Linked DNA regions of Diceros bicornis minor. The protein of the gene in region 1 binds, or shares a complex with, the protein of each later gene. Links are inferred from orthologs where the notes say so. Each region holds a gene or a part of one and is shown on either strand. Other genes may lie near its edges.

Region 1 (15,426 bases):
GTTTTCACTCACGTCATTTTTCTGGTTCAGGAGCTAATAGAGAATTCCTCATTATATCTACTTGTCATATCTCCTTAGTCTCATATAATCTATCACAGTTCCTTGGTCTTTCTTTGCCTTTAATGACTTTGACACCTTTGAAGAGTATTGACCAGTTATTTTGTAGAATATCCCTCATTTGGGGTTTGTCTTATGTGTTTTCCTGATTAAATTAAGTTTATGCATATTTGGCAAAATACTACGGAAGTGGTATTGATGCCTTCTCAGTGCATTATATCAAAAGGAATGTGATGTCTGCATGTCTTATTATTACTGATGTTAACCATGATCACTTTATTATGTTGGCCTCCGCCAGGATACTCCACTGGTAAAGTTGCTATTTTCCCCTTTGTAATTAATAGCAACTTTGTGACTAGATTCTTTGAAACTATGGGAATATCCTGTTTCTCATCATACTTTCATCCTAAATAATAGACTTTATTTTTTTAAAGCAGTTTTAGATTTACAAAAAAAATTGAGAAGATAATACAGAGTTCCTGTATACCCTCCTCCCTGCTGCACACACACACAATTTCCCCTATTATTAACTTCTTACATTAGTAAGGTACATTTGTTACAATTAATGAACCAATATTGATACATAATTATTAGCTAAAGTCCACAGTTAATTCACATTTCTTTAGTTTTTAATCTAATGTCCTTTTTTCTGTTCCAGTATCCCATCCAGCATACCATATTTACATTTAGCTGTTGTATTCTTAGGCTCCTTTTGGATGTGACAGTTTCTTAGACTTTTTCTTATTTTGATGTTCTTAACAGTTTTCAAGAGTAAAGGTCAGGGATATTGCAGTTTGTTCCTCTATTGGAATTGCCTGATGTTTTACTCTTAGCCTGGGGATGTGGGTTTTGGGAGTAAGATCACAGAGGTAACAGGCCATTTTCATCAAGTCATATCAAAGCGCATACTATTAACACGATTTATGACTGTTGATGTTGACCTTGATCACCTGGCTGGGGTAGTGTTTGTCAGGTCTCTACACTGTAAAGTTACTCTTTTTCCCCATTTCCATACTGTACAGTTTGGAAGGACGTCTCTACGCACGGCCCACACTTAAGGAGTGAGGAGTTATGCTCCCTCTTCTTTAGTGTGGAGTATCTGCATAAATTATTTAGAATTCTTCTGCATGGGAGATTTGTCTCTTCTCCTACATTTATTAATTTATTCAATCATTTATTTATATCAATATGGACTCATGGATATTTTATACTTTGGGTTATAATCCAACACTACTTTATTTATTTTGTTGCTCAAATTGTTCCAGCTTTGGTCATTAGTAGCTCTTTCAGTTGGCTCCCATGTCCCTTTGCTTTGACATACCTCCCTTAACGTGAGTTTTTTTTGAGCACTTCCTTACTTTCTGGCACTACAGGATGCTCTAGACTCACCTGGTATATTTCCTACTGCAGTCCTGGAATCAGCCATTTCCCAAAGGAGTCCTGGTTGATTTTATTGGAGAATGACATTAACGCAAGATTTGAGTAATAGGTACACTGACCCTCCCTTGTTTTTAACACAATTTTTTTTTTTATCTGGCTGAGAGCTTTAAAATCTTATCTTTATCCAAAGCTTCTAATATTTCATGATGATTTGGTTGAGGAACTATTTTCTTTTAAACTGAATGATCCTCTGTGGGCCCATTCACTTGGGAGACTCCGGTCCTTCAATCCTGAGAAATTTTCTTATATTATTTATTTGACCATTCACTCTCACTTGTTCTTTGTTCTCTCTATCTGAAATTCCTGTCAACTGAAGCTTGAACCTTTGGAATTTATTTATTTATTTATTTATTTAAATTTTATCTTTAATATCCTATTGTCCATCTCTTTGTACATCTTGGTGGTTTCCATAATTTTATTATCCAAACTCTGTCATCATCATAGTCTATCATAGATAAAGATTCCAAGGGCTCTTTCATGTAGTATTCCTTTAACATAGGGCATGCTATCCTTGTTCCATGGATATATCACTCATTTCCCACACTAATTATACTGTCTTTCAATTTTCTCCTGTGCCTTGTTCTAGCTCTACATCCATAGAGTTACTTCTTTCAATAGATTTGTTTCAGTTCCCTTCTGCTATGATAAAGGCATTCCACAAATGTCCAGTGATTCTTGTTTAGCGATCACTAAGTACCCAAGTGGATACTCAGTGCATTTATGCATGTGTTTGAGATTCGGGGAAGTAAATCTTGTGGACTAGAAGGCTTTATTCTAGGACGACCCAGTAATCAGTTAACTTTTTTGCTGAAGACACCAAAATACCAATATCAATGAGTCTATCCTGTGTGATAGGTCAGGTTTTAACCAGAGGAAGATCCTAGAATCTCCGTTCTGAAATAAAAAATGTGACTACCAGAATTCCGGGTGCTGATTAAGGGAAAGAACCTGGGGCAAAAATGAAAGCTTATTATTTAGAATACAAACTTTTATTAATGTTCCTCTTCTCAGTCCAGCACTTCTCTTCATTCTCCTCTGTGTAACATTATATTAATATTCCTGATTTCAAGCCTCCACAATCCAAATTTTCTAGAGAATGTACTTCCCACCGTGAGTTGAGGAAGAGGGCAGTTAGCAGCATGGGCTAGAGTTAGACCTCAGGTGGCCTAAAGATTTTCAAACAACTTCCTGTTTTCAGACCCAAACATACTCAGTTGCAAGATGACCAGGTTTCTTCAGTTTCTGAGATTTTCTAGCTATCTGCAGAAAGGAGTAGTTTGACTCTCATGAATATCACTCCTCACAGGCAATTAGGTCAGACTTTCTTTGCTCCACTTTACTAAATCATTTATTTTAATTTTTCCATCTACATTCCACTTCATATATTGTGTTTTGATGTTACAAATGTTTCATAGTTTTGCTGAAGAGGTAGTTAGCAATTTCTAGTTTTTGCACTCCTTGTCTTGAAAAATTTGGGAGAGGAAAAGTGAGATAACTTTTAGAGCTGCCATCTTATTATCAAACCAATGAAATCTAGTACATTTGAGGAAACAAACTAGAATCTATCACTATTATTGTTCGGTTGGTTGCTCTTCAATCTTCAATTCAATCAATCAAATTTCTTGCTTGATAATTCTAATTCAGGTAGGGAGAAATGTTTATTTATGAATTTGGTTATGCTTTTGTATGTTCTTAAATCTTTAGAAGTTACAACATTTTTTCTAATTTGCTGTTTTCTAATTTGCCAATTGCAGATGCAGACATGGCACGGCAGAAGTTGCTGGTCATCCCCAATATTTATTCTTACCTTTCTCTACATTAGTAGAAACCTCAACTTTTAGCTCACTGAATAGATGCTAGAATAAGTATGACATTCCCCACCCTTCCTTCCAACCAACGTGCCTATGGAGTTAAGCTCTGGCCAACATGATATGAACTCAAGGATGCATAAAATAAAACTTCTGGATTGTAACCTTTAGTGGAATGGGCATGAATTCCATTTCATATATTCCCATTTTATACTGCCCCTGGAATACAAATGTGTTGGTGAGCCATCTTGAATCATGCAAATGAGGGTATAATGCACTAGGGATGGCAAATCAACAAAATTGAAAGAGCCTGATTGCTCATATTTTGTAACCCCGGACTGCTTATACCTTGATTATTAGGTTTGAGAGAAATAAACTTCTGCCATGTTTAAGCCACAGTTATTTTAGGTTTTTGTTACAGCAGTCAAATCTGACTTTTATATTGACATGCATATATTCAACGATTTCACATATGTACACACAAATTATAATGGATTTCCAGATAAATGACAATAAATTGCATTTTTGTAATTATGTTTGTTTTCTATTTTATGTTTTCACTTGAAAATATTCTGAGCTTCTGCCAAGCCTAGCTAGGAATTACTTGATTGATAGATGGTTATTGGATACAAAATTGCAAAGTGGAATGTATTGTGATCAGGAACATTTTGAACAAGAACTCCAGATGTGTCTGTGATTTTTGTAATCTGATTCTTGGGATTAAGGCAAACTATGAAATAAATATGTGCAAAAAATCGTTCATTTTATACTGTGTGTGTGTGTTTTCCAAATGTATGTTTGACATTTTTTTCTCTGCTGGTTTCCAATATATAATTTGACTTTTTGCTGATATTCTTTATTGACTATGGCTATATTTGGAAGATTTTTGGAAAGCATCAAACTGGAGCAATGTGTTTATATATATATATATATATATATATATATATATATATATATATCCCAGGGGATCTGAGAAATTGGAACAAGTTTAGAAATTTATCAACTGATAATTAATATTCTAAAAGGGTTTTTGCCCACTTTTTTGTAGAGGAGCCCAGTTGGCTCTTACCATCTATAGTCTGTTCTTTCATTTCTGAGAATCTCTAAGAAGCAAGCTATTTATTTTGTTCCTTTGTGACTGTTAACTCTTTACAGTTTTATTCACTGTCCAAATTCTTATAGTTCTGGAACTTGGGACACAGTTGAACACTGTGGCAAGGTTTTCCTGGAACAGTTCTAAGGAACTCAAGCTTATAAATAATCAGAATCACACGTAGGATGCTATACACATAAAAATAACGATAAGGAACTGATTCTGGTTTTGCAGCACTGTCTTTATGTAGGTATGTGAGGATGATAAAAACTGAAATGAAAGTATTATAGATGGAATGTTTGTGTTCCCTGCCAAATTCATGTGTTGAAACCCTACTCTTCAATGTGATTGTATTAGGAGATGGGGCCTTTAAGATGTGATTAGGATTAGTTGAGGTCATAAGGGTGAAGCCCTCATGAGTGGATTTAGTTCCCTTCTAAGAATCATGAGAGAGCTTGCTTCCTCTTTCAGCAATTCACCATGTGATGAGGATACAAAGAGAAATCTACAGTCTGCAGCCCAGAAGAGGGGTCTCATCAGAATGTGACTATGCTGGCACCCTTATCTCAGACTTCCAACCTCCAAAACTGAGAAATAAATTTTTGTTGTTTATAAAGCACCAAGTTTGTGGTATTTTGTTATAGTGATACAGAACCTCTTAATCTCAAGTTCCTGTGCCCAGTGTGCAGTAAGACAATCATTGAGACACTGGTGCTTGGAGACAGAGAAAGGTTTATTCGAATTGGCCAAAAGGAGAAGGGGGACGATAGGGTCTCTCAAATCCATCTTAACAAAAGAAGAAAGCAGAGGGTCTTTATAGAGAGTTAGGGGGCTTGGGAGGAGGAGCTTTGGAGAAACAAAGGGGAAATCCATGTTCCTTTCACTCCAGATAAGCCCTTGGGCAACCAGACTCCTGGGCAGCAGTGGGCAGCTGGCAGCTGGTTATCTGGTGGTTGTAACTTCCTTAAAGACATTCATTTTCTTCTGCAAAACAAGCTCTTAAATCCTTGTGACCCTTGATTCACCCCTCAGGTTAAACAAGAAAACAGCAAATTAACAAGATTAACTTCTTTTCATCTGTGTCTTTGTTGGGCACAAGGTTGAAGAGTAATCATGTTCTTATCAAATATTTACAGTAACCCTTATGTACTTGGCTTCAATAGCAGCCCTAAGAGACTAAAACAAAAATGAGTATAGATATTTGCCTGTGATGTTACAGATGACACAAGGAAAGTTAACTGGCATTTGCTAAAGAAAATATGAAGTCTTAAGAATCATAAAATTCAAACTATTCAGATAGACATGTTTCTACAATATGATTTATATTATATTCATCCTAAAAAACATCTAGGCCTGGATTTTGACAACAATTTCAAACCAATGTTTATTCCGTATTGTACCAGAATAAGGGAAAGGGAAGTAACATTGTGATGCTGAATGCTTTATTTCTCTGAGTGCCCTGGCATTCCCCATAGACAAAATTGAACTTTCTTGTTTTTATCATTTCTTTTTAGGTAGGCCTGTGCTTTGTATCAAGATTCTGCAGCCAGGAAAAATTTTCACACCTATGTATTACAGAAGCATTAAAGTATATAAGTACCAGAGATTTAGCAGAATAAAAGCAGGTCAACAAACAATTCTCATATTCTTCATGTTACGTGTGCTCTATGATCTATTTCTATGGTGAATCACCACATTCTTCTGGGAAGCACTTAGTGGATTGGGGCATTTACTGGGTACTCACTATATTACAAGCTCTACTCTCACTATTACCTTATAGCAGAGGATAAACAAGTCCCCATTATTATGCAGCATGTATATTGGTGGAACAAGACAGAAAATAAACAAATAAGCAATTGATATTTAGTATGCCAGATGAGTGTTATAGAGAAAAACAAAGCAGTTGCTAGCTATGATAAGATTCAAAGTATGAGTGTGGGAATTAATAGCTGAGGTAAAGTGGAGAAAAAGATCATCTATGAGGAAGGAAATCAGAAGCTAGGCCATTGGATGTTTCATCCAAATGGTTGTTGGCATCCAAATGGATGAAAAAGGTTGTTAAGAATAATAGTAAGAGTCTGAACGAAAGAGAATACTGTCAATCAGAAAGTAAATCCTTAATAAATAAGAGTATCCATAAAGTCAGAAGATGAATGCTAGATTAGAAGAAGAAAAGGATGAGACAGCTAGATGACATATCCTCAAAGGAAGAGTTTTGATTTGTTTGTATTTTAGGAGAATTGTTTAAGGTTTTACCAAACCTGGATGTGGTGATGTGGAGTGAGAATAAAAACACTAGGACCATCCAAACTCCTGAGAGTAACATCCTTGAGGTTAGAATAAACAGCGTCCACTTAAGCAGGCTGCAAGGAAAATAATTTCCCCAGGAGCCTATCAGGTTCAAGGGTAGCGTGATAGAGCAGGGTAGGGCATGTGGATCTAGAACTTCTACCTTCTGAATACATACTTAGGAAACACGGCTTAGAATACATGATTATAAGGTTCTTAACGCAGAAGTGTGGAAAACAAACAGCAACTGACCTTCCCACCACACACACTTCAGCCTGATGAGCAACTTAAAGGATCTCATCAGCTCATTATTAGCAGCATCATAATTGCCCAAATTAGTCAGATCGACTTAGTAATATTATCTAATAGTAATGGCAAAATATTTGCTATAGAACAACAACAACAAAAAATGGTTGTCTGACTCAGAAGATAAAGCCAATATCGTTGATTTCCCTTCTATTTGCCTCTTGTTTCTATTATAGGTTTGCACAACATCTTGGGATTAGTTTCTGTTCATTACACATTATACAGAGCAGTTTATGTCACGTATCTTATTTAAGCTTTAAAATATTTGACATTAAGTTTGTTAAGTTTATATGATGTTTGAATGTACTGAAAGATACCTAGAATTTTACTGGGTGAGAAGGGATGCATAAGTTGGGTTGCTACAAGGAAAAGTTCTATGCACTAGAAAATTCACTTGTATTGTCACCACAAAATGCAGAGAAGAGAAGCCGGTAATCCATACATTGTCTATTAAAACGAAATCAAGTCAGGGCTGGCCTGTGGTGCGGTGGGTAAGTTCACACGTTCTGCTTTGGCGGCCTGGGGTTCGCCAGTTTGGATCCTGGGCCTTGACCTACTCGCTGCTCATCAAGCCATGCTGAGGCGGGGTCCCACATAGAAGAGCTACAACTCTACAACTATGATACACAACTATGTACTGGGGCTTTGGGGAGAAAAAAAAGAGGAATATTGGCAACAGATGTTAGCTCAGGGCCAATCTTCCTCAAAAAAAAAAAGAAATCAAGTGGATGTTCGATGCTATAAAGTAATTATTGTAAATTTTTAAGTATGATAATGGTATTGGGTTTTATTCTTTTAAAGTCTTTATCATTCAGAGACATATGGTGATACATTTTTGGAGAAAATGATATGATGTCTGGACTACTTTTAAGTTAATCCAAGGTGGCAGGGCGAGTACAGACAAAACAAGATTGGCTACATGTTGACAACTGAGCTGCCACATGTTGAAGCTGTGTGATGAGTACATAGAAGTTTGCTATACTTTCTTTATATTTTTGTATATGTTTGAAATTTTTCATAACAAACGTATAACTTAAACAAACGAACAGAATACACGTAACAAGGCCTTTTCTGTGAATCACGGGTGAAACGCACTGTCCCTAACATGGTTTGCACAGAACCAGCGTTAGCTTGGTTCCACTTTACTCCTCTGTCCTATGCCTTGGAATATAAAATTTGAGCCTCTTATAAATATACATGATTTCTTTTCCTTTTTCCCCATTTTTGTTATCTTTTCTTGATGTGCAGTAGGAATCTTTTTTTAAGGAAACTTCAAGATTTTTGAACAACATAGGGTTATAAAATGAAAGTTCTATGGTGTAGCAAAATTTTTCCAAACTCTTTTTGGGAAAAAAGGTCCACCACCTGTTCCCTTCACCCCCAAACTACATGATTGCACACCAGCGCACCACTTTTCCAAAATACACATAATTTTTCCTCTGTCCCTTGTGTCTCAAATCACCAGAGTGGGAAAGAAATCTAGAGTGAGAAGGTTATAGTTGCTCCAACCCATTCTTTCCTAAACAGCTGCACACACACACACACACACACACACACACGCGCGCACACACACACACACACACACACACACACACACACACACACACACACACGCCGCTACAGCAATGTCCGGATTTGAATGCTGCAGGCTGACAAGTGCCCCTGACAAGCTCTACTGGGGCAGTTAGGAAAGGGAAGAGAGAAAGCAACTGAAGGTAAACACCTGAGTTTGCTGCCTTCCTCTCTTCCTCTCTCCCTCCTCTCCCTCCTATTCACATCCTGCCCCCCCCCCACTTCTCTCCATTCCTTCATGCCCTCAGAGTCCTCTCCCGGCTCCCCCTCCTCCCCAATTCTGCTCCTCTCGCCCCCTCCCTTCCCCTGCAGGCAGCTGGTGGAGGCGGCTCGGCAGCAGCTGCTGTTCCTGCGGCTGCAGCGGTGCCTGCAGGTCTCTGTCAGCATCACCCCGCCCACGCCCGGTCTGGATGCTCAGGCCGCACACTGGGCCAGGGATGAGGGCGGGGGAGAAGGCGGCGTGGGAGAGGGGAGAGAGGAGTGGGGAGGGCACAAAAACAGCTTCCAGGCGGCGGGCGCGGCTCCACTGCGCGTCTGGGCAGGAGGGGTCTCTGGGTCAGTGGCTGGGAGGCCGCCCCGGAGACTTGGTTTCCAGCTGGCAATTCAGTGCGGCCCGTTTACAGCGGAGCCGTGGTGGCCTGGGTGGCATCAGTTGGTGAGTGCAGACGCCAGCCTAGCAACACCTCCTAAGCAACCAGAGCTCAGGAAACCAGAGAGATCCGGGAAGAAAGAGAAACCCAGAAGGAGAAAAGGGCTCTAAAGAGTCCAGCTTCTCTGAGTTCCCTCAGGTGCTGGTGGAGACCGGTTACATGGTAGCAAGTAAGTGCCTTTTTCTTGCTGTGTGCCCAGTCCCAGGATGGGGATAGCCACCATCTGCTGCCAGCCTTTCCCACCCGCCCTTGCCAGCCCCACTCCATAGACACCCTTACCGTCCCCAGCAGGAGACTGAGATTCTAGACATCAATCAAGAGAACTACTTCAAGAGCAGCAGTGGTTTGTGGGTGTGTGTTCTGCACTGAACCTGTGGTGGTTTTTCTCATCGCAGCAGGTAAGCTTCTGAAGCCAAGATGCTCTGTTAGTGTAAAATGTCTAGAAATCCTATATGACAATGACTTTTAGGTTTCAGGACACTATGATAGACCAAAAAGAATAAAAGCTCATGCAGGATGGAGTATACTTCTAAGGACTCTCATCTTTTATCCTAAGTAACTTAGTGATTTCAAAGTTGGTGCTTTTCATGTAAGCATTGGCAGTGTAAAATTAGAGGCACAGATGTGATGGGAAATGATGTGCCCAGTTTAAATGTATAGACATTCTGGGATTGTTTGGATCAACAGGTTTTTTGTTTTTGTTTTTGCATTGTTTAGCTCTGTAAAATGCATACCTTCTGGAGGTTTTCTTTTAGACGTGATGATGTGTTCATTGTGACTCTGGTTATATGTTGCCTCCAATACGTAGGCTATCCATCAAAGTAGGAGAAATGATGAATACATGTGGAATGATGGGCTCCCTTCATTAATGAAAATGTTGGAGTCAGGTTTGGATATTGGCAAGAAAAATCTCTTGAAATGTGGAGGAGTTTGGCAGGTGCTTTTTGTGGATATTTTTCTTCCTGGCTATCGTTCAGGAGAGTAGATTATGGCAAAATAAAAGGAAGCTGGGACCTGTAATAAACAGAGTTCTGGGCACCATATCTGCGTTGACCAGCCATAATTAAAATTTTTATAATCCGGCTGCTAGTTTTACAAATAAAGAAGATAAGGCCCATAGGAATCATTTGATGAGGTTACCTGGCTAATCAATGATGAGCTGGAAGTCCAATGAAGAAGATTTTGGGATTTAGAATGATAAAACTTGATTTCCATTTTTGCGAAAACGAAGCAAGTTATTTAACTTTTGATTAAGCTTTATTTTTCTTTTATGTAAATGACACAAAAAATTTACATATCCTGTAAGGACTAAATCACAGATTACATGAAGGGTTAAGTGAAGGTAATATCATGTGTAACTGTTGCTTGTATAAGGAATTGTTCTGTTTTTATCCACTTCACTATTCTAGCTCTCACTTTAAGTCTAGTTCAATATAAGAATAAAAGGAGCTTTGACAACCCTTGCTAGAATGCACTAGAGGAAATGAAATTCAAATCCAGGTCATGATCTCTTGCCACCTGTACAGTTTAAAGTATATTCTAACCTGTGAGCCTCCATCCTTGAAAAATTGTATGCTTTGGCTAACCATTTATATTTAAACACCTTTGAATATTCTCAAAATATACTTTACCCTCTTTCTCTTTTTAGCTTTAAATTTTGTTTCAGATATGTGGTCTTACTTCCTTGGGATGAAACCATCAAGTATATTGGATATTGCTGAATTTATTTGGTCCATTAATTAATAAAGGAGAAATCAATGTTTAGAGATAAACACTCTTCTCTTGACTGCTGAGATTCACTAAAATCCTGAACTCAGGTGAGAGGTACTGTGAGCTCCTTCTTTCCCGTCGAGGTGTTTAAAACAATAAGAGAAAAGACTAAAAATGGACGTAGGCTCAGGAAAAGGGACCAATGGATCCCAGATGACATGGGCAGGCCCCAGGACCTGCTGCCAGAACTGGGCATTCTGTCTCACAGCCTCTTGTGGGAGACGCTCTGGGAGGGTAATGATATACACTCCCATTAATTTTGTCCAGGTAGGATGAACACAGATCTAAAGCATACTGTAATGGAAATAACAGGATTTTGCTCAATCCCTTACTTAGGGATGAAGAATCCTAATATGCCCCAGCCTTAGATCTCATTATGACAGGCTCTGTACCACAACTGGGGTAGTCAGAGACTGAGCCACAACCTTACACCTACCACCATAGACTCTCTATTGAAAGTTTATGGTGGGAGCATTAGCATAAAAGAGATATTCCTGATTTCTGGGATCTGGACCCATTATTTCCACTAACCAATATCAGGATTCAACAGTCGTGAGGGGATGTCTGTAAACCCTGCCCACCCTGACTAGCTATCGGCAATGCACAGTCACTCACCATCATATGACACCAACTTGTATAGACAGATCTCATTTTTCCCTGAGTTGGTCCCCTTCTCTTCTAGTAGTGTAGCTTAACCAAGGCCAGGCAAGCAAGGTCTCACCTCTGCAACACTGAAAGAGGGAACTTTTAAGGCTGAAGAGAAAGTTCTCATCCCAGGGCTTCAAGGGATGTTTTTCAGCTGATCCGTATCTCTTGGCCCAGCTGGGATCATGATTTCCATGTATTTGTTCAATCGTTGCTATTTATAAACCAGGCTTATTCTGGTTATGCTCCATCCTGGTGGGGGATCCCCCATTTGTCTGGCAAACAGATATTCCTGTTGTATGCACAGTATTCCTGACTGGGTGGACTCAGCCTGTTGCTGGCTGAGGATAACCTGCTCTGTGGACAGATTTGCTTGTGGTGGCAGCCGGGTGCCAGACTGACTGTATCAGCGTCAAACAAGAGCTTGACAAAAATGCTGAAGCTGGGGCCCCACTCAGGGAACTTCTGATTTTAAAAGTCTGAGATTAGGACAGGGCATCTAGTTTTAAACTAGAACATCAGAGGATGCCAATTTGAGGGCCATAATCCCTGGCTGACTATGTGGTGTTCAGTGGAATATTCCTTCCCTTCTGCTTTAGAGGCCAGAGTGAGGGTCCTGGTCCACCAGGCTCTCATTCTCTGAATTCTTGCAGAGGCTGCACGGTCTAAGCACCTGATTACAGGCTATAACTTTGGCTCAGATCCATATCTAGTCTCGCCCTAATATGTTTCAAGGCTCCTCTCTAGTTGCCCTCCAGTTTGAGAAGGGATTGGGTATCTATATGTTGGGTTCCACATTTGAAAGGCTAGAGTAGTTTTGCGGGGTTGGAGTAGATCCTGGGAAAGCAGGCTCTTTCAGAGTGATCAGGAGGAGAGGTAAATAGCCAGTTCTAAGAAGCCTCCAGGGTTCCAGTGAATGTGCCAGTTCTGGAATTTTTTTTAAATTTTGTATTCTGCAGACCAAGTGGCATCTAAGGTCTCGCCGTTGCTGATGAGTATAGAAGTTACACTCATAACAAGCTCTCCTTCATATTACTGTAGCAGGGGCAAGAATACATTCCTCCTTCTTGAGGTCTTAAATGGCCTCTGGCTGGATTCTTCTGGTCAGGGGTCTGACTCACTAGGGTCACAAGAACAGTTAGTTCTGGAAAGATTCTAGCCTTCCCCCAACATGCTTGTTTTGGTGGGCTGGACAGCCACAGCTTGGAAGTTGTTCTTATATCCATAGAAACAAGGGCCCCTGCTAGTGAACCATGAGGGTGCCATAGAGAAGCTCAAGTGGGCATACTTAAAACCGAGGCAGCTTTCCTTCATGGTCCTGGAACCCTTCCCTGCCCTCATTGCCTCACCGATCATAATGGCTTTTCCTGGTGAGACTCCATCCCCCACAGAGACATACTGTCCTGCGTCCCCTCAAGGCATTCAGACATCCACTGGGCTTCCCTTGGGCTCATTCTTGTAAGTGAATTTGAGACCAGGTGCTAAGGCTTTGTCATATGACACTTTGTCCAGATTTCTTCTCTTCAATATAAGTTGTACCTCTCTGAATGTGTGTGACCTGCACTCTTCCTCACTGGAAAGAAGACACTTGCAGAGACCTCAGCTCCTAATTATTTTAATGAACTATCACTAGGATCCATGTTTACCAGATTTTGGGGAGAGTTCAGTTCTCAAAAGAGAAGAGATGGGACGCGTCCCTTTGAATTTTTGCTGGTGCTTGTTTATTTACAATGCTGTGTTTCTAGTTTTTGAATCCAGAAGAATGCCTGGATTAAAATTCTTAAGAAATATAATCAAAACAAAATGGCAATGCTTACTTACGTTTTTGAGAAAGTTAGTTATTTACAATTTTTCTCTGCGAGATAACATATTACAGGAATGTGTTGGCTGAAATTGTCAGAGTGAGGGAGTTGAGTCCAGAATTAAGTGGATGTATTGAAGCCCAAATAGGCTGACCTGAGAGTAGAACACAGCTCCAGGCAGAATCTAGGTCCAGGGACAAAGGAGAAAAAGTCAATTAAGCCAGATGAGACAAACTGTCTGCCAGGGAGAAGTAAAAGTGTAGGAGCCAGATAATCAAAGCTAAACAGGAAGTAAGCAGCTCAAGTGGAAAAATAATGCCAAAGCAGAAAACCAAGTAGGTTGAAGTCAAGTGGAACAGACAGCTGGAAAATTCCAGGTGAATTGGTACCATTCTGGTATATCTGTCCTTTACTGCCAAGCCTTCAGTGTGTAAAGTTCCCATTTCTGGATTTCAGTAATACATATACATGGTAAATTATGTTCAAATAGTATAGAAATATTAACCAGAAAGCAACAGCATCCTCTGACTCCTCTTCAGTCTCTACATAGATACAGCAGTTTACTTCCTTCCACAGGCAAAACATTATGCATGTGCCAGCATATATAACGTTATGTATATAATACTTATAAAATATTGTATTCAAAGGTAAACAGTGCAAGCCATTCTCACCATTACATTTTTCACTAAATAATTTATTTGGGGAATCTTTCCATATGAACACAGATCTATCATCTGTCTCATTCCTCATTATTACTAGTGTTCCACGCTAGCGAAATACTGGAATTTATGGTACTTAGGGTGGACACTTTGATTTTTTCCAGTCTTTGAAATTGAAAGTATGTTGTGATTAACATCTTTGCAAACCTGACTTCTCAAACTTCAGCAAGAATATTCAGGGCAGTTCACTTGATGGGTCAAAGAGTACATGCAACCTTTATTTTAGAAACTGTTGCCAAGCAGTACCTCAGGAAAAAAATACACTGATTTACACTCTCACCTGAATTGTGTGAGGGTGCCCATTGCTTCGTATCCCAGCCTGCCAAAAGTCGCATCTGTTGAGAAGACTCTCAATTACGTCTCTAGAGCTTTACTGTTAAAGTTAATGATTGTTTTAATCTCATCCATATCTCTCAGAATTTCCTGAGTTTGTCATCTTTTCTCATAGCCTTCTGCTTCCTGAAAGACAATGATTATATTTTCATATCCTCAACAAGAAAAAAAGCAATGCCTCTAATATCATATGAGTTCTAAACCCTAGAGAAAAAAAGATGATAGCTCTAGGGGAAAAAGCTCTGCATCTGAGAATTCAGCTGTGAATCATCACAGATTGTGGGAAAGATGAAATATAAGCCGTAATGTATCTATGAAGTGCAGTCAAGTGGCCCCAGTGAACAAAAATGTCAATCTAAATTGGTCCCTTCACTAAAGCAGGTGTAGTTCCTACGTTCTCAACAATATAGAGTCCATTTAATGATCACGTTAATTCTGTCTCCTTCACTTATGCGTCCAGCACCTTCTAGTCCCAAGTTAACTTGTGTATCAGCCTTGTTATTACTATCATTACATTTTTTTTGTTTCTGTTTTTTTATCTTAATGACATTGGTGCAATAGCCTTAATGCGTTGTCCATGTCTGATAGAGAGCATAATTGTTTCAAAATAGTTTAGAAACTAAGTGAGAAGTCATTTTGCCCTTTATTTCCTATGCCATGTCAGAGTGAAATTGGCATTTGGGATATTATCTTTACTCTACAGATCCATTGTCCTATTTTTTTTTTTTTGCTTCATTTTTCTTAATTTATCTTATCTTGCTCTATGGCCTATATTCTTGTAAACTACCCTAAATCTTTTTGGTAAATACATTAGGAGAATAAATAAATATATATTAGCTGGTATAAAGTGGAGCATTTTGTAATTCTCTTTGGCGAAGTAAATCTATCATCTATTTCTCATCCCTAGGATCAACTCCAGCTTCCCAGAAAGCATAGAGGTCG
Region 2 (14,926 bases), on another chromosome or scaffold:
GCCTTTCCCAAACACTAGGCGTAATCCCATCCTCAAGTACTTACAGAAATGCAACAATTTTTAAAAGCTGTTATTGTTCCATATCGTCTGGATATACAGGCCCTTCCCTTTCCTCCTTTGAGTCCTGGAGTTGGTGTGTTGAGTTCTTCCTGGCCACACACAGCTGCCAGGGGATATCTGGGTCCATGGTGAGCGAAGCATGCCAAAGAACGGAAAGCAAAGAATTGGTGGTTCTGCCACATACAAGTTGAGTGGCCAAGTTATTAAACTTCCTCTTGGATTTAGTTTCCTAAAAAAAAGAAGATGGCAATAGTGCCTACTCCTTATTTAAGAAGAAGGCAGAAAAAATAATATCTATTAAGTTTATGCTAAGGGCCAGGCATTACATCAGGTGATTTATATATTTAATTCATTTAATCCTCATAAATAGCAACAAGGTAGGTAGTATTATTAGTCTCATTTTATGGCTGAAGAAACTAAGGGTCAGAGGAATTAAATAATTTGCCCAGGGTTACAGAGGTAACAAGCAGAGTATCCAGGATAAACCTATCTGACCCCAAAGATATCGCTTTTCCATTACTCCACTCAGTGACTCCAAATCATAACCTTACTTGAAAACAGCAGTGTCATTCAGTGACAAGGGCCCCAGATTAAGAACCTGGAGAGTGCCACTTGCATCAACAAGGTGAGCCACTCAGAACACCCCTTAACCTCCAATCTACCATTCCTCTTCTTTAGGAAACGCTACTCATCTTATCAAGGTTGCACTCAAATATTACCTCTTTCAAAACTTTCCCAGCTATGCCCCCACCACCAGCCCCAAAGAATAATCTGTGACTCCATCTTCTAGGCCATCTGTATGCAATAGTCCTTACCACACAATTTCGCTGTTATTGTTTTAAAGTCAGAGACTAGTGCAATACCTGGCATAGAGTAAACACTCAGAAAAAGTCTGAATGAAAGAATGAAGTGTAACAGTACACAAGTCATTTAATCTCTCTAGATATCAATTTTTGCCGTCTTTAAAATACATGAATAGTCTCTCATATCTCACAGGTATATCAGGAGAATTCAATGAAATATGTTGTGTTCTTAAAAATAAAACCATTAGGGCCGGCCCCGTGGCTTAGCAGTTAAGTGAGCGCGCTCCACTACTGGTGGCCCGGTTTCCGATCCCGGGCGCGCACCGACGCACCGCCTCTCCGGCCATGCTGAGGCCGCGTCCCACATACAGCAACTAGAAGGATGTGCAACTATGACATACAACTATCTACTGGGACTTTGGGGGGAAAAAATAAAATAAAAAAATAAAACCATTAGATGAGGCCAAGATGTTGTTCCTTTTACAAAACAAAAACAGATCAACAACAAAGATGTTTTCATTCATGTTAATCCATGTGAGCTCTCTAAATGATAAGTGATTATAAGATTCTTGACCCTGCAAAGAAAAAAGGAGAGAGAGAAAGAACGAAAGGAAAAAAGAACACAAGATATGTTGGATTTTCTCATGTCTATTTACTTAGATTCCATACTTTTCCATCATACTAGAAGTTTTACTAGTAAGGTAGTTATATCTACTTTTTCTCACATATATATACATATACACACACAGTACTCAGCTTTGAACTTCACATTACATAATGAGTCATTAACTTTCTGACTGATTTGCACATGGAAGTGTCTTTTGATGGTGAAGGTCCTATAGGAAGAAGTTAAGTCCTTAAGACTTTGGGGACAAACAGCTTTGGATTTGAGTCATAGTTCTGCTGTATACAAGTTGAGTGAGCAAGTCATTTAACTTCTTTTATATTTACTTCCTCAAAAAAAAAAAAAGAGAGAGAGAGAATAATAATAGTGCTTACTCCTTAAAATTGTTGTGAGGATGAAATAAGTTAATCCACGTAAGGTGCATAGTATTGTTTTGGGCCAAAGCCTGCCCTCAAATAGTATTATGATTATGAAGATAATGCTGTTGATGATGAAAATGACAACAGAGGCGATGGTAAACCATGAAAAGCTGATTATTTCTCATCATTCTGAAGTTAACAGCTGAGCACATCTCTGTAAGGATTAAAGAAATAATCTAAACAGGAGCCTAACATCTTTTGATTTTATAGGGCTTTACAAAATCCAAAACACATCCACCCGATATTATTCCATTTGTGCTCCCAGCCCCTCTGGGAGGCAGACAATTAGAGAGAGAGAACTGGTTCAGAGACGTGGAGTGAGAATATCAGCAGCATCAGAGTAGAAGTAGCCGGGGACATAGGCCTCCCGTCGCTTACCTGGGGCTCATTTTGTGGTTTCTTTGTCTCCTTCTTCAATAATGTTTCTGATGAGCATTGAGTCAGTCAGGGCTCAACTGTTGCTCCTGCCCCAAACATCAGAACAACAAGAGCATCTAGATCAGCAGCTAGGCAATAAGGACACATTTCTCTAAAAGACTTTCCTTCTCCGTAGCCTCAGCGCCTGAGCCACATGCATGCCAGAAATGCATAAAGAATTATGCCAGCCTGACAGCAATACTTGAAATATATTATAACTTTTCTTCTGAGGAGCTTGAAGTACTTTATCATTATATTTATATTTTCTTTTTTTCTCATTCAAATGTTTGGATTATCATAACTACCTATAGACAGCTTTCTCACCGATGTGTAACCATGCGCTTCCTGGAGGCTGGTTACGAACAGTGTGACACTGGCTTCTTTCGTACACAGGTTGTGTTATGAGTCGGCGGTGGGCCCTCCTGAGTGTCAGGAAAGTTCTGGCTTCCCTACTCATTCAGATGAAATTCAATTCAATAAACATTTTTGGCCCCATCTTACCTGCCAGATTCTCTGCCATGTGCAGATCCAGGAAGGGACAGCATAGTCTGCTCATCATGTCACTGTTTCCTGTTCTAATCCCAAACTTCCCTTGGCCGGTCACAGTAACCACACAGCTGGCAGGCAGGATGAGGGAACGATCTGGGGGAGCCTGATATCTTTCAGTTCCATATGTGCTTTTTGGCCACAGTTTAAATTGAACATATTTCTTTCCTCTCCCTGTCTCACGGGGTGTGCACTATTTTTCAAAATCCACTTAGAACGGCAAAAGCAGGTCACTTGACTTGCCTTCCTTGAGCTCTGATTTCTGCATCTTGACTCTTAGGTCACGTATGTGTTGATCTTGAAATGCTTCTCCTGGCATTCTTCTGTGCATCAGGAAGAGGCCCACAGTGACTCCAGACCGTCTCCCTCGTCCCCAGTTCCCCTGTCACTCCCCATCCCTATTCTCAGCAGATGATTTTGCTTCCTGCCTTTCCAAGATCGGTATGCGTATCTTATGGTCTCATACTTTATCTTTACTCACAGTGTCACTGCCAATACTGTTCTCTCTAATTTTTCCACCATAATCTTAGTGAAATGGGTTTCTTTCTTCAGGAAAACTAACCTCTCCATGCACATCTCAGATGCCATTCCTTTTTCCCTGTCAAAGTTATTCCTTCCCCATCTGTGAATACCTCAGGCCTCATACTTCCCCCTCCACTTCCTCAGTCTCTGAGCATAATTGTCTGGAGTCCCCTTTAAGGAAGAGAGTCCCTCAAGTCCAGATATTCTCTCTTTCCTTGCCTATTGTGGCATTGCATCTTTCTGGATCTCCTCCCATTTCTCTGACTATTCTTTTTCTATTCCCTCTATTGATTATGGCCTCAGCTGTTCACTCTTTCCACACTGTTCTCACTCATTCATCCATCACAGATCTCACTATGATGATCACTATGATATGATCTCACTTGTTCATTCACTCATAGAGGATCTAACATCTGCCAGTTACCAATGTAGGCGTAGGAGGACAGTAGCGAACAGAACAAAGGAGGCTGCTTTCATGGAGCCTACATCCTGATAGGAGAAAACAGAAAATTAGCAAGTATGTAAATTTAAAATAAGATAATTTTGGATCGTGAGAGAAGATATGAAGAACAAGAAACAGGGTAGTGAGATGGAGAGTAGCTCCAGGTTGGGGAACTGGACAGGAAACCAGTTTAGAAAGTGTGACCACTTTCTAAAGTGCCACTCTAAGGAGAAGTCATTTGAGGCAAGACTGGAATGATACGAGACCAGCCATAAGATGAAGAGCATTCTAGGCAGAGGGAACATCTGGTGCAAAGGCTCTAGAATGGGAAAAAGCTTAGTAAGTTTGAGGCAAGTTTTTAAAAAATTAAGTGTAACTGGAATATTGTGGACAAGACAGGGAATGGTAGACATGCGTGTGAAGAGGTAGCCAGGGCTCAGGGCAGGCCTTGTTAGCCATAGTGAGGAGTATAGATTTTATTTAACTGCAATGAGATGCCATTGAAGGGCTTTAAGCAAGAAATGTGCATGATCTTACAGAGACAGAGTGCTCTGACTACTGTTTTTAGCCTAGAATGGATGGTTTCACCTATCAAATGTAAGGGGAAGATGATCATCAAATTGGAAAAGGTTAAAAAAAAAACAGCCAAAAAGAGTTGAAGCCAAAATGGCAAAAAGAAGGGAGGGATAACTTAAACAAGTTAAATGAGTTAAAAACTCTCAGAACAAGGCCAAATGTACTTTAGGGAATGCAAGGTACTTGCAAAAGTAATGAGAGCCACTGCCAAAAATCAAGAGAAATGTCAGAAGACTGAAAAGACCAAATGCTCCTGTTTTTAATAGAGGAGAGACAGAGGAAGTGGCTTATGCAAACTAGAGACAAGTACATTGTTCCTAAAACCTCACGTAAAATCCTCAAAGTGAATATTTAAAATGGGATTGATAAACATTTAGAAAACAACATTGTGATTATTAGGAATTAGCACACATAGACGTAAGAAAAAATCATGTAATATTAAGCCAATTCCTGCTGTGGTAGTGGCAGTGTTTGTAGCGATGGTAGTTGAGAGAGTTATCAGACTGAAAATATCTTGGTCACTCTATGTATTGGGGTGAGACTTTCAATAAAATCATTATCTCAAAGATAATTGGAACTTTATCAATAATCTATTCCAAATCTTTTTGTATGTGTGTGTGTGAGGAAGATTAGCCCTGAGCTAAGATCCGTTGCCAATCCTCTTCTTTTTGCTGAGGAAGACTGGCCCTGGGCTAACATCCATGCCCATCCTCCTCTACTTTATATGGGACGCTGCCACAGCAGGGTTTGATAAGCGGTGTGTAGGTCCGCGCCTTGGATCCGAACCCGCAAACCCTGGGCCACCAAAGCGGAGTGTGCGAACTTAACCACTAGGCCACTGGACCAGCCCCTATTCCAAATTTTTAACCTATAGAAGATTTTTTTTTCTATGACATCTCAGTAATTCTTTGGATAGCAACTGCTTGAACTTAACAAAAGGTAAGTCATTCGGCTTTGGAACGGTTTGAAAGATATTGCTGAAAATCTGTTTCCATGTAGATGTAAACCATTGATCCTACCTCTTTTCTTTGGATCATTATAAGTCTAATTCCTCTCACATATACCGTTTGTTTTAAATTTGCAGAATGTGTCATGCTATAAATATGGAAAATAGGGAGATATGCTTGGGTATTTGTTTGTGATTGAGCAACCATACCAAAGAAGTCTAATCAGTGGCTTGTTGCCAAGGTAGAGTGAGGTCTCTAAAACCATGCCAAAGGACTCTTCTTTGTTTTTTTCCTATCCACTTTTTTTAAAATCTATGTTTGGACCAAGTGATTGACAAGCCTAGAGATGGAAAAAAGCTAAAGAAGAGAGATATGTTGGATGATTGAATCTGCATTCAATAAAAATATGGACAGGATGTGATAATTGGTTGAAACTAATAAATTTTAACAGCAATAAGTGCAGAGTTTCATAAAAATTTTTCCAAAATTACCTGTATAAGTACAAAATGACTCTGCAACACATCGAGCGAAACATGCTTAGGGATTTTAACTGACCATAAGCTTACTCTGAGTGAGATATGGCTGTAAATGTATTTGAAGAGGCATACTCTCTAAGCAAGTATGGCCATAATTCCCCTGGATTTATGCTGGTCAGACCACACAGGGAACATCAGTTCCTGTTCTGGATTTCACTTTGAGAATCATGCCGAGAAACTAAAAATCCTCCTGAGAAAGTGACCAGGGTGGTTAAGGGTTTGAAACTACTAGGAGATACACTGGAAGAAACTTAGGAAGCTTAGCCCCAAACAAAAAAGTCTTAGGGGTGGGGTCTGGGGAAGCATTGCTCTTTTAAGGAAAACAGATTGAGGACCTCTTAATGGAGTTTGAGGAGGGAAGAGAAGTAAACAGAACTCAATCGAACATAAAGAACTTCCTTAAACAACTGAAGGGACTGACTTGTGAAGTAGTAAGCTCTTATCACTGACAAAGGTCAAGACTGTTCAAAGGAATGTTCTTGGGGGATTCATGAATTGGAAAGGAGGTTGAGTTAAGTCAACTTGAACTTCTCATCCAAATCTAATACACTATGCTTCAAGGGCTGGTCTTCAAAACAACATAGAGTTTATGGCCTGGTGGCTCCCTGCCCAGGAAGAAGATCCTGCCTTGGGGACATTCTGTTGCTCTGTGATATGTTAGGAGGGAGAATTTCCTGCATATGGTTCAGTTACAGTCAGCTGTTACCCTGCCGTTCCTTTTTGGAATATCAGTGTCAAGCTTCTCCTTTTGGAAAGGGAGCAGGAGGGGATGATAAGCTGGGAGCAGAGAGGTTCTTGTATTAACCTTTCACTTCAGTTTCAGGCATTCCTAACCTGTTATGTCAATTTGAGTCTATGACTGAATTTAAAGGTTCAGGTTTCCCTTCCAGAGATGGGGCGCAGGCACTGAAACAGCTGCTAGGACTAGGGAGTGGCTAATAGTTGGAAGAAGCCAAACCACAATCTATCGGCTTTAAACTAAAAAAAAAAAAAAGTGATTAGAGCGAGAGGGAGTTGCCCCCTCCCCCAACACCACTTGCGCTGACCTTTGGATCACCTCACCGAGCAGGAGGTGAACATGGGAACAGGTGCGCCTCACCCCTACCGCACTTCTAAAGAGGGATTGTCACGCTGCGGTCAGTGTGCCTGGAACCAATTAATCGAGGCTAGACGAAGGACAGACTGGGAGAACAGGAGGGGATGGGGTCCGGGGAGAGAAGCCGGGAGCCATGTACGGTGTACACTGCAGATGACATCATTGCCTGAAAGAGATTTTGCCCGCCCCTTCCCGAAGCTGGAGGCAAGCATGTCTGTGCGGGAGCAGGAGTGGGGTGGTCTGGAGAGTGAATTGGTGGGAGGTGTGATCGTGCTGGGGCGAGGTGTAGAGATGTGCAAGGCAGACCTGGAGACAGCCAGCGAGCTGAGAAATCGCGGCGGCGGGGGGTGTTTGCGCTCTTCCGGGCTCCGCCCCCCGCTCAGCGCCGTGTTCGGCCCTGGGAGGGGCACGCCTGTTTGGGGGTGGGGAGTGTGTGCACGAGGGGGTGGGTCCGTGGTGGCGGTGGGGGTGGAGAGCTGCCTGCGCATGTCAAGGCTGACTGAGCATACACGGTCAGGGGGGCCTGGAGAAGGGCAGCTGGTCACCCGCCACCCAGGGTCGGGGCCCCGGCACGATCCGGGAGCGAGCTCTGGGGAAGGGGCCCATCCTCCCCGCCGCACTCCACCCCCCGCCTCTGAAATTTTCAGCCAAACAAGAGCTTCCGCCTCCTCCCCTGCCCCCTGGACCTCCCCGGGGAGCCGAGGGCGGGTGTGGACGGCACTGAGGTGGAACGAATTTTGTAGCTCAGACGGGTGGCCCCGGTGGCTTCGGGTGGACACGCCCAGCTGGAGAAGCCGGTCAAGGCGGATGACGCCGGCGCTCCCGGGTCTTGGCGGATCCTGGTCGGAGCGTAGCTGTTCCTAGGGCAGGTGAGAGGTGGATCAGCATGGAACCTTTCGACAGCCCGGCCGCCTAGAGCCAGCCATGCTGCTCGCTTCCGAGCTGAGCTTTCTCCGAGGCGCAAACAAGAGAAGCAGCCGTGCAACTGGAATTTGAAGTTCCGGGGTGGGCGGGGAAGGTACTGTCCGTGGTGCTGAGCCGGATCCCAGCAACGGGCTCCGGGGAGAGCGTGCGAAGCTGCTGATCTGCTCCCTCGAATTGGGGCGGTCGGCTAGGGTAGCTTGGAGCTGAAACCCCCACCTGGCTCAAAAAGCCTGCAGAGCCTCCCCAGTCACCGGCGCTTGGCCCTTATTTCAGTCAGAAAGTCGCCCCCTTGGGGCAGTTCGTCCCAAAGGGTTTCCTCGAAAGTGTCTGAGAGGACGCAGTTCTTGACCAAGGGAATCTCTCTGTTTAGCTCTGGAAGTCACCCACCGAAAAAAGATGCCTGCTTTCAACAGATTGTTTCCCCTGGCTTCCCTCGTGCTCATCTTCTGGGGTAAGTACCAGCACCCTGCCATGTGAAATGCAGATAACAGTAATAACGCAAACAATAATAACACTTATTGATGTCGTTGGTGACAAAAAGGAGCCCTAGTTGGCTTCCCTCTGTGCACGTCTGCCAGACATGGAGATCCATAAGGGGTTCCATGAAAGCTGGGATTTTAAGACTGGAAAAATGCCTCCCCGCTTCGCTGCTGCTTTATTCTGGAACCTCCCTTGATGTTTTTTCCACCCCTCCTCCCGTTTCCTGTTAATTCCAAGGTATTTTTTTCTGTTTCCCTTTGCTGAAAGGGAATGCAGTCACGTTCATTATAAAAAATCTCAGTTGCAGTTACATTTCATTTCTCAATGAGTCGTCAATGAGTCTTCAAATTAATTTCTACATATTAAAAAAAAGCTGGATGCATGCATTTTAAGAGTGAAAATACTTCAATTGTTGATCCATCTGTTTAATTGTAATAAGGAAAACAGGTTTCAGCCATTTGTACCTATGTATTAGGTAAATAGGCACCTGGGAATTGCATCTTTCTTCTTTTTTGTGAACATGTTGAGCTAAGGTGCTTTGGTGTTTGGGGAGCTGGGTTTTTTGCTTTCAAAGACGAATAGGTTCTTGCTTGTCTGCTGTGGGGGAATGAGGTGACCTTCTCACTCCAAATAAGGGAGCCCTGCACTTACAACAGCAAGGCTAAGCAGAGTGGTGTCAGAGATGAGCTTGCAGCAGGGTGCCTGGATGTGTGTAGAGGGAATTAATGAGTTTACGTGATAATGTCTGAATATGTGGTTGAGAGAATGCTTTACTGTGTCAATGTATGCCTCAGTGTTTGAACGTGTGCGCTAGTGTATGTCTGAGCATGTTAGTATGGGCGTCTGAATGGCTTGGTGAGGATGTAGTTGTGTGTGTGTGGTGATTGTGTAATACTGGGCATCTCTGCCTTGGTGATTCTGATTAGATCTTCAGGTGAAATATAGAAGCTCTTCAGTTGATATATTGCTTTATATGATCTTAGCTACCTTCCTCCATGCTAAAAATCAGTAACCAAGATAATTAGAAGTGATTGTGCGCACTTGCCCTGTTGAAACTAGACATGTGGGATTATGCTCCCGTGGTTGCATGAAACTCATTCTGCCTGTGCAGCTCAGATATGCTGATAGGAATTGCCTCTTTGCCTTAGTATCACTTTATTAAGCATCCAGGACTAACTCTGGCAGCCAGCATTATCTGGATTTTGCCTGTGACTAGAAGCAGAGCCAAGCTTCCTGTTGAAGAAAATGCCTGATGAGAGAGTGCTGGGGAGGACAAAGAGGGAGAGTAACGCCAGTCCCAAGGACAGACTCCCTGCCATCCATCCCCAGTAGAGTAGACCAGACCTGAAGATGAAGCCGACATAATAGGTTGCCAATGATGTCACCTACCTTGAAAATTTAAGGCTGGGATTTCCTCAGGGGAGGCTAAGCCTAGGGACATGAGGCTTAGGAGAGATTAGTCTGGCTGGATAAGAAAGAGTGTGGGTAAAGCAATGGGAGATAAAGTTGTAGAGGAGGGTTGGGGTGAGATTCTACAGAGCCTTTCTTCCCAAACCCTAATTTAAGTTTTCAGCATCTCTGCCTGAATTCCAGTGGAGGAAGAGAGCATGATATTGTCCAAGGACCTTTTGACTAGGACTTACAAAACCTGGATTGGGGTCTTTGCTCTGCCACTAGCTTGCTGTGTAACAACCTTAGATTATCTAGTTCCTCATATCCAAAGTTTGGAGGTTGGAGCAGATGATATCTAACATCCTTTTCAGCTCCACAACTGAACGGTAGGGAAATATTTACAGAATATAGCTAAAATTGGCAGTGTGCGCACATTACACCCATCCCTCCTCATTCTCAGCATCTTTGTAATCTGAACATTGGTTCACCAAACTGAAAAGCTGCAGCGAGAAAGAGGGATGGTTCAGGAAACTTGGCTATTAAATGTAAGAGAAAGGGCCTCGCTTCAGAAATATAATTTCATTTATTTGCATGTAATTCTCGTATTGGAAAGCACTTAGCGTAGATGTGCTCTTCTTTCCCAAGCTGATTTTTCACATGATGCAAATATGAATGGAAAGAACTTTTTCCATTCTTTTATTTTCTGCATGTATTGAAAAAAGTTCCCTTATTTCCTTTAATAAAGTATATAGTAATAATAATAATTTTAAAAACCCTACATTTGCCTGGTGCTTTACAGTTTACAAAGCAATTTTCAATCCGTTACTTCTTTTGGCCCCCATATCAATCCCACGGGGATAGCCAGGGGAAGTAGTACTATTTCCAATTTAGAGACAAGAAAATGAGCTCAGGGAGGGGAAAGGACTTGCTAGAGAACTCTTGTCTCCTGATTTCAGTCTTACAGTGCTTGTTCTAGCACCTCTGATGGACACATGTGCTGCTGTGCAGGATTGCCTGATGGGCATCTGTCCTCTCATCCCTCTTCTGAGCTACCTTCCACTCCTCCCCCATGCCATTACCTTTCCTAGGGTCTCACTCATCCCTTAGCTCCTAGTGTCCTCTCTGCTCTTCCTCTCTAGGTCTGCTCTCCCAGATGTCCGCTGTGTTGGGGAATGTTTTCCTCTCTTCCCCAACTAGCCCATGTTGCATCCCATTCTTTCAAGGCTCTGCTAAGTGACTGTCTAATCTGATAGACTAAGTCATTTCAAGGTGTTAATATTTGCAAATAACTTCATTTATTCCCCCCTTTTGGAAAGTATTTACATTCTAATCAAAGCCTTTGTTATGTTAACACAAAAGAAAGCATTCTAGAGCAAGTTTAGGAGGGGCAAGATAGCAATGCCCAAAGACGAGAAAAAGATTTGGGGTATTAGAGGTGTTGGTTCAATACACATTAGTATCTACCTCGTTATAGATTGATGCTATTCCTTAGTTAAATATAATCATCATTAATACCTCATATTCTTCCTTCTCATAAGTTTCCTCATTATTACTATGGACATTGAAGAGGAGACCAAAGGTCAAATGATTTGGCCAAGATTATTCCAGGAGTTTATTATTTACAGTCAGCAATGTGGGTTGAACACCTACCATACATACAACCTTTTCTTGGATATCTAGAGAATTTCATAGAAAGAGAGGCAGTGGTGTACTGGAGACTCACAGGGTGGAGAAGCAGAATTCACTTCTTGATGGAAGGAGCAGCAAGTCATATTGCAAAGGGCAAGCAAACAGGGATGAGAGGATTTTGTGGCCATTTTGCAATGTACTATCTAGGACCTCATGAGCAGAGTTCTTATGCCTTCAAACTGGACTTTGGCCGGGAGAAGGGAATCAGTGGGGCTTGCTCTCTGGTGATACCTTGGATTATTATCATCTCAGGGGCAACTTAGGAAAAAGAGAGCTCCCATGCCATATTCACCATCCTGACTGCGTATATTTTTCCCTTCTTCCTTTAACTGTAAATGAGCTGTGTCCTATATTAAGACTAACTCATCTACTTGTTCACTAGAGAACATCACCTCTCACCTATTCAAGGATGTTAGTGCAGCAAATTATTTCTTTTCAAACCCCAACAGCTCCACTACTACCTTCATCCAAGCAAAACCATTGAACCGTCTCTCAGTGTGATCACTGTACCAACGTCTTTTTTTTTTTTTTTTAAGATTTTATTTATTTATTTTTCCCCCAAAGTCCTGGTAGATAGTTGTATGTCATAGCTGCACATCCTTCTAGTTGCTGTATGTGGGACTCGGCCTCAGCATGGCTGGAGACGCGGTGCCTCCGTGTGCGCCCGGGATCCGAACCCGGGCCACCAGCAGCAGAGCATGCGCACTTAACCGCCAAGCCACGGGGCTGGCCCTGTACCAACCTCTTAACTGTCCTCTTTGCTTCCACTCTTGTCTTTCCTCACCTCTTCAGTTCATTCGCAACATGGCAGTCAAATCATGCAATTCTGTATAAATCATATCATTCTTCCACTCAGCACCCTCCAGTGCTCCCCATGTCACTCTAAGCAAAAGCCAAAGTTCTAATCATGGCTGACAAGACCAGCTATGATCTGGCCCTGGCTTCTCTCTCCTACCATGTCTCCTTCTATTCTTGCTTTGTTCCCTGTACTTTATTGTGCTCTTTGCTTTCAATAAACACACTTCCACCCTTGGACCCTTGAGTTGCTATTTCCTCTATTTGGCACACCTTCACACAATTATTCATATAGTTTGCTCCCTCATTCCTTTCATTCAGTGCCTGCTTGATGTCATCTTCTCAGTGAGGCTGTCTCCAATCATCCTATGCACTCTCTATCTCCTCTGCTCTGTTTTGTTTTTCCTCATAGCGCTCATAACAATTTAGTGTTGCTTATCTTCTCTCTCCCTCAACTAGAATGAAGGCTCCATGAGAGCAGGTGTGGTTTCTGTTTTGTTCCCTGTTGTATTCTCAGTGTTTAGAACAGTGCCTGGCATACAGTAAGCACTTGATATATTTGTTGAATATATGAATAAATAAATTAAAGGTAAAAATAACATTAACAAAGTGATATTTGTACAAAGTATGTTCTTATAAATTATTCCATAGGATTCTCATGACAAATCTATTAGATATTATTTTCAGCATTATCTTAATGAATAAACTGAATCTCAGAGAGGTTAAATAGTAGATCAAACCCAGGCCTTCAGTTGCCAAATACCATCTTCATCCTGCCTCTATAACTGTAACTGTATATTCTTTGGTACATTTTCATATTCTGCTCTTGAAGTCATCATTATTGAACTAGCTTATCTTTACCACATGTCATTAAATATGAATGTGCCCCAAGGCTCTCTGCTACACAGAGTTCTCAGTGCACACTCTACACCTCTGCCTACTCAAAACTTTTGCACAGACAATGTCGTCGTCGTCTTCTTTTTTTTTTTTCACCAGGCCTATAATCAAGACTTCAAACTCATCACATGCTGAAGATGTTTCTGATCAGTTCTCCCTAGTTGTGGACCCTTTCTCCGCTAAAGTGATGGTCCCTGTGCAAAAGCAGGAGACTCTCTTGCACACTTCCTGAGAAGACCAACCCCAGCTTGCCTGAGAGTTTTAAAATCAATTAAATTTATTTTACCTTGACATTTTAAACTTTATCATAGTGCCACTAGTTTTTTTTTTTTGTGAGGAGATCAGCCCTGAGCTAACATCCGCCAATCCTCCTCTTTTTTTTTTTTTTTTTTTGCTGAGGAAGACGGCCCTGGGCTAACATCTGTGCCTATCTTCCTCCACTTTATATGGGACGCCGCCACAGCATGGCTTACCAAGCAGTGCGTCGGTGTGCGCCCGGGATCCTAACCAGCGAACCCCGGGCCGCCGCAGCGGAGCGCGCGCACTTAACCGCTTGCGCCACCAGGCCGGCCCCATAGTGCCACTAGTTTTTAAACTCTGTATTTAAAAATAAAATTTGTTGCCTTCTAAGTCAGTCAAATACAGTATTTCCTTTTTTGACTCAAAATTAGCCAGTCTCATTTTAAGCTCTAAATAAAGCTTTTTTCTGCTTTTAGAAAGAATTGTCTGCCAGTAGATGAACAGACTGACCATTTACAGTGGACTAGTTCTTAAATGACAATGTGTATTTTCATTTTTTTAGGGGTTCTGTTTTTATTATGAATTCATGAGAAGGTAGCATCAGAAGGGCCCTTAGAAGTCCTAATACAAGAACCCTCAGTGGTCATCTCACTTTTGAATCTTTCATACAATGAGGTGTAGACTCTCTTACCAAATAGTGTTTTGCATTTGTAAACAGCTTCAGTACCAGAAAATTCTTTATTGTCCTTAGTTCAGCTAAACTTACTTTCTTGTAACTTTTGGAGTTAACAGAATCTATTTTCTCTTTCACAGCCCAGCCTTCAAATATTTGAAGACAGATAAGTTCTGTGTCCAAGCTAAGCACTCCTAGTCCTCATATTTGTTCCTCACCAGACTTTGTCCCCTGTCCAGTCTCCATCTTGCCCCTCTCTGGGAATGTGCTCATTGAACAACTTCCTTTTGTAAAAGTGACACTCTGAATTGATCATAATAGTCCAGATTTGTTCAGAACAGTGCAGAGGAACCGTTCCTGCTTTGTTCCGCACATTGTACATCTGTTAATGCAGCCCACGTTTGCACTTGCTTTGTTGGCAGCCATGTCCCACTTTTGACTCACTCAGAATTTGCAGTCTGATATACTTGCCTTTTTTAACGGGCCACGAGTTTCTAGAGGGCAAGAATTATAAGTCCAGACCTCCGCGTGGCAGGCAAGGTGTCCCACAATCTGCTCTCTCTCCAGATTTTTAGCTTTGTCTCTCTCTATTCCTCTGCATAAAGCATTGCTCCAGCCCAGTGGACATCTCACTGCTGCTCTATCCTTCACTATGCATCAAAATTATGTACATTTTTCATAGAATACAGATATAAGAACTCTCCATGGCTTTAAAACTTTTGACCCCTCATATTGTGAAGCATATACAGAGGTTATCACAACATGAGTCCTATCTATCTTTCTAGCCTCAAGTTTCACCATCCTCCTCTTCCTCTTTCCTCAGCCCAACGAAGAATAATTGCCCCTC

The links.
Region 2: the proteins of SCN7A (region 1) and SCN3B are in contact, whole or in part, in a cryo-EM structure (PDB 7TJ9), measured with the Homo sapiens proteins. The link is inferred for Diceros bicornis minor from reciprocal best matches to the Homo sapiens genes SCN7A and SCN3B. Residues at the interface, in NP_002967.2 of Homo sapiens: Arg269, Glu293, Tyr296, Leu298, Glu299, Leu305, Gln315, Cys316, Pro317, Glu318, Gly319, Tyr320, Asn922, Ile923, Thr926, Cys927, Lys929, Ile930, Phe939, Ile956, Tyr957, Asp959, Gln960, Ile966, Tyr970, Met973, Ile974, Tyr977, Ile978, Leu981; in NP_001035241.1 of Homo sapiens: Val25, Cys26, Val27, Glu28, Val29, Arg44, Ile46, Lys50, Arg51, Glu52, Glu53, Val54, Asn95, Gly96, Ser97, Asp99, Gln101, Asp102, Phe126, Phe128, Ala130, His131, Pro133, Val135, Thr154, Ser155, Ser158, Glu159, Met162, Leu165.

Annotation. Positions count from the first base shown.
Region 1 is NC_080749.1:48,486,014-48,501,439, reverse strand, and holds the start of SCN7A (sodium channel protein type 7 subunit alpha), read left to right. Parts: upstream 1-9,160; 5' UTR 9,161-9,384; intron 9,385-9,503; 5' UTR 9,504-9,613; intron 9,614-15,426. UniProt on the Homo sapiens protein: Sodium leak channel functioning as an osmosensor regulating sodium ion levels in various tissues and organs. While most sodium channels are voltage-gated, SCN7A is not and lets sodium flow through membrane along its concentration gradient.
Region 2 is NC_080746.1:13,825,766-13,840,691, forward strand, and holds the start of SCN3B (sodium channel subunit beta-3), read left to right. Parts: upstream 1-7,514; 5' UTR 7,515-7,858; intron 7,859-8,283; 5' UTR 8,284-8,309; coding exon 8,310-8,364; intron 8,365-14,926. UniProt on the Homo sapiens protein: Regulatory subunit of multiple voltage-gated sodium (Nav) channels directly mediating the depolarization of excitable membranes.